Ovis aries: one gene and its partner. The protein of the gene in region 1 interacts with the protein of each later gene in a pairwise test. Links are inferred from orthologs where the notes say so. Each region holds a gene or a part of one and is shown on either strand. Other genes may lie near its edges.

Evidence for each region. The genes of interacting proteins can lie anywhere in the genome.
Region 2: the proteins of NEDD9 (region 1) and NFKBIA interact in binary tests that used the Homo sapiens proteins (3 or more experiments, as listed by UniProt). The two-hybrid records come from large-scale screens. The link is inferred for Ovis aries from reciprocal best matches to the Homo sapiens genes NEDD9 and NFKBIA.

What each region holds. Positions count from the first base shown.
Region 1 is NC_056073.1:44,332,846-44,336,591, forward strand, and holds the end of NEDD9 (enhancer of filamentation 1), read left to right. Parts: intron 1-962; coding exon 963-1,472; 3' UTR 1,473-3,441; downstream 3,442-3,746. UniProt on the Homo sapiens protein: Scaffolding protein which plays a central coordinating role for tyrosine-kinase-based signaling related to cell adhesion. As a focal adhesion protein, plays a role in embryonic fibroblast migration.
Region 2 is NC_056071.1:43,395,047-43,398,792, reverse strand, and holds the start of NFKBIA (NF-kappa-B inhibitor alpha), read left to right. Parts: upstream 1-1,445; 5' UTR 1,446-1,533; coding exon 1,534-1,760; intron 1,761-2,381; coding exon 2,382-2,490; intron 2,491-2,818; coding exon 2,819-3,029; intron 3,030-3,419; coding exon 3,420-3,508; intron 3,509-3,631; coding exon 3,632-3,746. UniProt on the Homo sapiens protein: Inhibits the activity of dimeric NF-kappa-B/REL complexes by trapping REL (RELA/p65 and NFKB1/p50) dimers in the cytoplasm by masking their nuclear localization signals.

The DNA of each region.
Region 1 (3,746 bases):
AGAAGCCTTATTTATATGCATTAGTCATCCCTGTGTTGCTGGATAATGACATTTATAAATCTGGACAGAAAGAGTAGGAGAAATAAAAAAGGGTCATGGATTATCTTTTATGTAAGTGTCTGAAAGGGACAAAGTCAAGGCTTTCCTCTAGAAGGAGCAAACAGCATCAGTGGCTGACTTGACAAAGAGATCCCTACATTTGCTTTTCCCTGGCCACCACTCAATAAACATTTACCTAGAGCCTACATAATACCAAACATTATTCTAAGCACTTTGCAAATGTTAACTCATTTAACCTTCGTAAAGACATAGGTAACTGTTGTTCAGTCGCTCATTCGTGTCTGACTCTGCAATTCCAAGGACTGCAGCACGCCAGGCTTCCGTATCATTCACTATTTCCCGGAGTTTGCTCAAACTCATGTCCATTGAGTCAGTGAGGCCATCCAACCATCTCATCAGGGTGTGTAGCTAAGTGGTAGAGCATTTGACTGCAACCATCTCATCGTCTGTTGCCCCGCTCTCCTCCTGTCTTCAATCTTTCCTAGCATCAGGGTCTTTTCCATTGACTTGGCTCTTCCCATCAGGTGACCAAAGTATTAGAGCTTCTGCTTCAGCATCAGTCTTTCCAGTGAATAGTCAGGGTTGATTTCCTTCAGGATTGACTGGTTTGATCTCTTCGCTGTCCAAGGGAGCTGGGTTGAAACCCTACCCTGCCTTCCCTTCTGAGGACAGAAGAGACCAATCGTGTCCAGTTGCAGAAGTCAGAGCTGGAGGATTCCTTAGGCATCCTCTTTCTCAACCTCTGCATTTTACAACTCAGGAAAGCCAGGCAAGCTGACAAGGCCTGGCATCTAAAAAACCACCTGACATGAACATCCCTGCCTTACAGCTACAAGCCCTGGTTAGTTTCCACTTCGGCACACACCGCCTTGTCCTTAACTAACTTTTTTTCTCCCCTGTAGCTGAGTCAGTTCCAGCTGCTGGAACAAGAAATCACAAAGCCCGTGGAGAACGACATGTCCAAGTGGAAGCCGTCCCAGAGCCTCCCGACCACCAGCAGCGGCGTGAGCGCGCAGGACCGGCAGCTCCTCTGCTTCTACTATGACCAGTGCGAGACCCACTGCATCTCCCTGCTCAACGCCATCGACGCGCTCTTCAGCTGCCTCAGCTCGGCGCAGCCCCCGAGGATCTTCGTGGCCCACAGCAAGTTTGTCATCCTCAGTGCCCACAAACTTGTGTTCATCGGAGACACGCTGACCCGGCAGGTGGCCGCCCAGGACGTTCGCAACAAAGTGATGAACTCCAGCAACCAGCTGTGCGAGCAGCTCAAGACTATAGTTTTGGCCACCAAGACGGCCGCGCTTCACTACCCCAGTACCCCCGCCCTGCAGGAGATGGTCCACCAGGTGACCGACCTGTCCAGGAACGCACAGCTCTTCAAGCGCTCTCTGCTGGAGATGGCCACGTTCTGAGCGGAGACGCAGGAAAGGGAGCACTGCCTTGGGTTACTGAGGAAAACTGGAAAACACTCTCTGGTTTTTGTAAATCTTGTCTATTTTTGTAGATATTTTTGTATAAAAGTGAAAGACTTTCACATTTCATGGGTTAGATGGCATTCAGAAATTCAGGGAACTCCAGGGGGGTGGTGTGTGGCTTTTTCCCCCCCGTGTTGTTCTTATGTATACACATAAGCATCTGAGACACAAATTGTACAGAATCTTATCCACATGTGTGTGACTACGTGTTCACGTTCGTTTGTAGATGTTTGTCTGATACATTCCATTAAGAACCATGAGATAAGAAGCACCTTAGGAGGCACCTCCCAATGCTGCATTTTCTTTTTAGAAAAACCTACCAGCTGGTTGCAATATTGCTCTACATACACTCGTGATTGTTCCGAGCCTGTCACTCCCAAGTCTGAGACACACAGTACAGTGTGTTTGCAAGTGTTCACCTTCCATAAGGAGGCGGGTTAATACCTTGTTTTCCTTTTTGAAAGCCCCTCCAAAATTGGCCGTCTCGGACATGTTATTGCAAGATGCCTCACTTCTGGTTGAAAAAAAACCCTCTTAGAAAGTTTCAGAAAGTCTTGATATATCTTAACCCAAACTCTGACACATTAGGTGCCAGAGGAGAGACACGTGTGTTGAGGCTGCTTCCTGATTAGCGCTGGGTTGTTTCAACACAGGACGCTGTCCCAACAAAAGGGGACCATGTGTTCCCCAAAGACTTTCTTTTGTGGCCCCACCAGGTGGCATGTGGGATCTTAGTTTCCAGACCAGGGCTGGAACCCATGCCCCCTGCATGGGGAGTTCAGAGTCTTTAACCACTGGGCCACCCAGGAAGTCCATCCCCAGGGCTTTTTGATCATCGGCATTTGTGAGTAATCTGGCCATGAGATTTTCCAAAGGACATTTTCAGATTTGCAAAAAAGCATATTGTTTGCAGCAGGAATTCCTAAAAACACATTGGGCAGTGATCATCCACAAAAGAAGGACGGTTCCACCCGAGTTGTAAGTGGAGGCCTTTCTGACTGACTGTCATCATCCTCTTCGGTGCTGCTATCCCTGGTACCTGAGGGAAGCTGGCCAGTTCCTCAATCACCTAAAGGTTAGAGACGCCAGGCTACAATCTTACTCTTAGGGGAAGTCGTGGCTTGATCCTGTACCCTCCCTAAAACGTGCACACGCACACCCAGCGCTCAGAGCAGCTGTCAGGAGCCCATCTAGGCTTTACAGCTCTGTCTGCCCAATGACCCCGTGAACAGCTCATTCACTGTTCCCCAGCTCAGCACAGCATCCATTCCACAGTCTGTCCTCTGATACATGCTGGGGTTGGCACAGCATCACAAGCCATCGGATTCATCATGGGGCAAATGAAACCCTTCCAACCCAATGGGTAAATGTATTCACAAATCACCAAGTCAAGAAGCAAGTTATTTATGGTTTGTCAGTCCAGTTTTCATTTAATGATCCCACTCCAGTCAACTGGAAAATGTTTGATTTGCAATATATGCCTTGACTTAATTAAGCTTGCTTGCTTTAGACAACCAAATTATTGGAACAGGAGAGGATTTAGGAGAGAAGGATATATGATCTAAGTGGGATTAAATAAAAAATCAGTAAAACTTATCCAGGAGGTGCTTTTCAGAACCAGTGTTGTAGTTCTCAACATTCTATTCTGCCAAAAGAAGTCAGATTGCTGTAGGACAAGCAAGTGTGTGTGGAGGAAGGGGGTTGCTAAAAATCAGCAATGAGTTTGAAAAAGTGTCCTTGTAGATTTCATTGTATCATGTATTTCTTAGGAGATGACTTGTTCTATGCTAAGAGGTGACATTTCATGTTTTCAAAACCAAAATGTTCAATCTGTGTTAATCTCTTTCCCGTACTATATGTAGAGGCTATTTTTAAATCATTAAAATTTTGGATGTCTGTTTTCATAGGCCTTGGGTTTTCTTTTTCCATTTCTTTCTTTGTCACACAGTTAAATGTTAGCTTATTTTGGCACTCCTAACATAGAAAGGTGAATTATGGTGAGTTTATTAATACTATAGATCTGGATTTTTGAGTAAAATTGAGAGCTATACGCTCATTTTGTGTCACTTCAGAATGTATTGCATTTGAAGAAAATTCTGGAATTTTTGAGCATTACCAAACCCAAATGTCTGAAAAAAGGCTTCTCTTCACCAGGAAGCCTGAATATTTAAATGGTAGGTGGGATGGTATCTGCTGTCATAATGTGAATGT
Region 2 (3,746 bases), on another chromosome or scaffold:
AGTTTCTTTATTTTGCTTGGACCAATTCTAGAAATAGATGAATGCATACCTCTCATTGACTAGGAGGTGGGGGGGGCGCAGAGAGCCTAGGTTCTATTTCTGCAGGTGAGAGGAGGGTGGTGAGCCTGGAGTGGCTACCCATATGGCAAGCATGGGTCCCATGCATGTCTCTCCCAGGCAGGAGAGCAAGGAGCCAGCAGAGGCAGGATGAAGGGCACCATGGGCTGCCTTGAGCCTCCTGCACTATGCCTGGCAGCTAATTTCTTAGCCATCCATAAGGCCTCATCTTGGATAAGGCACTACTCTACCCATTCTTCAGCCACCTTCCCCAAATGCTTCTGCAAAGTCACCCAGCAGAGGACCCAGAAGTATGCTCAGGGTCTGTTCCCTGCAGCAGCACAGTGCAGAGCAGGGAACCCGACCTCCATAATTATTTCCTTACTTCAAGGGATTTACAGCCTCTGCTACAAAGACTCATACCTTGCTTTCCTTGAAAAATACCATGGTTGTTTTCACCGTTTTCCTGCATACAGGGCAGAGTGCTTGCCTCTCCTCCAGTCAACAGGATTGATAATCCCAAGGAAATGATTTGACGGTTCCCCAGTGGCAACCCACTCCAGTGTTCTTGCCTGGAGAATCCCAGGGATGGGGCAGCCTGGTGTGCTGTTGTCTCGGGGTCACACTGAGTCGGACACAACTGAAGCGACTTAGCAGCAGCAGTAGCAGCAATCATTTAGGCTTTTAATGCCAAAAGCTTTAGAAACTTCTACCCGGGGGTCGGGCGGTGGGGGTGGGAGTGGAGAGTGGGCTGGGGCTGGCTATTCAGCCGGTGCCTACAATGCTAAGAGCCTGGTACTGGCAGGAAGGCAGAGGCAGCCACCTTCCACCGACCAGTGCGTCCTCCCCGCAGAGAGCTTTGGGGAAGTGAATCCCTACACCCGGCCAACATTTCCACTCGCGTTTTCAAAAGATTTAAAAAAAAACCGGAAAAGACCTGCAGGTCGGTAAACCCCAGTGAAGAACCAGCCTGCAGGCCTGCGTCTTTGGGATCTCAGCAGCTGACGACCCTAAATCAAATCGATCAAATCGGGAAAACCCAGGGAAAGAGAGCTTCTTGCAGAGGGCCAGGATTACTGCGTGCAGGTTGCAGGGAAGTACCCGGGGAGGGGGCCCGGTCAGGAGGACTTTCCAGCCACTCAGCGTTCATCAAAAAGTTCCCTGTACATGACCCCAGTGGCTCATCACAGGGAGTTTCTCTGATGAACTCGGGCGCGGGGTTTAGGCTTCTTTTTCCCCCTAGCAGAGGACGAGGCCAGTTCTCTTTTCTGGTCTGACTGGCTTGGAAATTCCCCGCGCCTGACCCCGCCCCGGAGAAATCCCCTGCCAGCGCTTATAGGGCGCCGCGGCGGCGCTGCCGAGCCCACAACAGTCCTAGCCCGTCGTCCCGCTCGCCCGCGACTCCGAGAGCAGCCAGAGCGCAGCGCAGCCCGCGGCCCGTGCACTGGGGAGCAGCGCCCGAGCCTTCACCGCGCCATGTTCCAGCCTGCCGAGCCCGGCCAAGATTGGGCCATGGAGGGCCCCCGGGACGCGCTCAAGAAGGAGAGGCTGCTGGACGACCGCCACGACAGCGGCCTGGACTCCATGAAGGACGAGGAGTATGAGCAGATGGTGAAGGAGCTGCGAGAGATCCGCCTCGAGCCGCAGGAGGCGCCGCGCGGCGCCGAGCCCTGGAAACAGCAGCTCACCGAGGACGGAGACTCGTAAGTGTCGCGGGCCCGGGTGGCAGGGCCGGGTGGAGGCGCTGGGCCTGCAGCCCCAGGCGCGGGGCCCGCGCAGCGGCCGCGCACCGGGGTTCGTGCACCGACCCCGAGGCTGTGCAAAGGTGCACGGCTGCCTGCGGGGCCGGGGGCCGGGGCGGGGGGGGCGGGTCGGGGGTCGGCGCTGGTTTCCGGGGCCGTGGTCCCGCGGCCCTGCGTTGCAGCCGCGCGCACCCCCCGCACGCACACCCCCGTGCGGGTCCCCTCGGCCGGAGGCGGGGCGGCGGCGGGGACGCGAAGTCCCCGCTTGCATAAGGGGGGGGCGGGAGTTTCTGCCCCGCTGGCGGGCGCCGCGCGGCCGGGAGGGGAAGTACAGGGCGTTCCGGCCGGGCGAGAGGGCGGGGCGGTCTGGCCGGCGCCCGCCGCCGAGCGCGGGGGGGGCGGGGGGCCGGAAAGTCCCTGGGCGCCTGCCAGGAACACTCAGCTCATAATAACCTCGCGGAAAACACCGCGGCCTCGGCCTCCAGAAACCCCGGCCTTGCGCAATCCCCCGCGGGCCGCGCCTCCCCGGGCCCCACGCAGTGCACTCACCAGCCCTGGGGGTTTTCCCTCTCTTCCCCTCAGGTTCCTGCACTTGGCCATCATCCATGAAGAGAAGGCCCTCACCATGGAAGTGGTCCGCCAAGTGAAGGGAGACCTGGCCTTCCTCAACTTCCAGAACAACCTGCAGCAGGTACTGCTCTCCCGCCGCGTACCTCTCTCTCCCGCTCTGACCCCGAGATAAAACCGGGTCTTGCACATGATTTCTAGATTAACAAAGGTTTGGGCATTATCTGCCCTGATTTTTTACACCTGTGTCAGCCAGTATTCTAGAACACAAAATTCCATTGATTTGGGAAGGCCTTTATGAAGCCCATCTGGGGCCTCTGGTATTTTGCTTTGCCCCTGGTATGCGCCTGGGAAAAGCAGCACCCACAACCAAGATATCTCTGGGGTTCAAGGGAACACAGATGGTGGGTTGGATCCATGGCTTATCCTTTCTGTCCCTCTTCTGTTTGTAGACGCCACTCCACTTGGCTGTGATCACTAACCAGCCAGAAATTGCTGAGGCACTTCTGGAAGCTGGCTGTGATCCTGAGCTCCGAGACTTTCGAGGAAATACCCCCCTACACCTTGCCTGTGAGCAGGGCTGCCTGGCCAGTGTGGGAGTCCTGACTCAGCCCCGGGGAACCCAGCAGCTCCACTCCATTCTGCAGGCCACCAACTACAATGGTATGTCTGGCTGTCCTGCCCATCAGAGGGCAGGTGAGGTGGACACGGGGGAGGCAGGCTGACTTAAGGAGGCCAAGCAAGGCCTAAGCTCTCAACATATGAAAGATGGAGAAAACATGTATAAAGGCCTAGTTGATGCCTTTCTAAAGTCCATTCAGAACCCAGATTCTGAGCTCTTCAAATTAAGAATGTATCCTTCAAAAGAATAGGGATATATGTATACCTATGGCTGATCCATGTTGATGTATGGCAGAAACCAATACAATATTGTAATTATCCTTCAATTGAAAATAATAAATGAAGAAAAAAAAAGAATAGGTGAAAGCTTCTGCTTGAGAAATGAGTGTTGAAACAAGTAGTTATAATACTGTCTTACTTTTGGTCTTCTAGGCCACACGTGTCTGCACTTGGCCTCTATTCATGGCTACCTGGGCATCGTGGAGCTGTTGGTGTCCTTGGGCGCTGATGTCAACGCTCAGGTCAGTGCCTCACACCTTCAAATGGGGTACATCAGGCCACCCTGGTCCTCAATACGAGGGCTTTTGCTGCAAGCAGAACTTCCAAACTCAGCCATAAGCATCTTGAATTCCTTATGGTTCCAGGAGCCCTGCAATGGCCGAACTGCCCTCCATCTGGCAGTGGACCTGCAGAATCCCGACCTGGTGTCACTCCTGTTGAAGTGTGGGGCTGATGTCAACAGAGTCACCTACCAGGGCT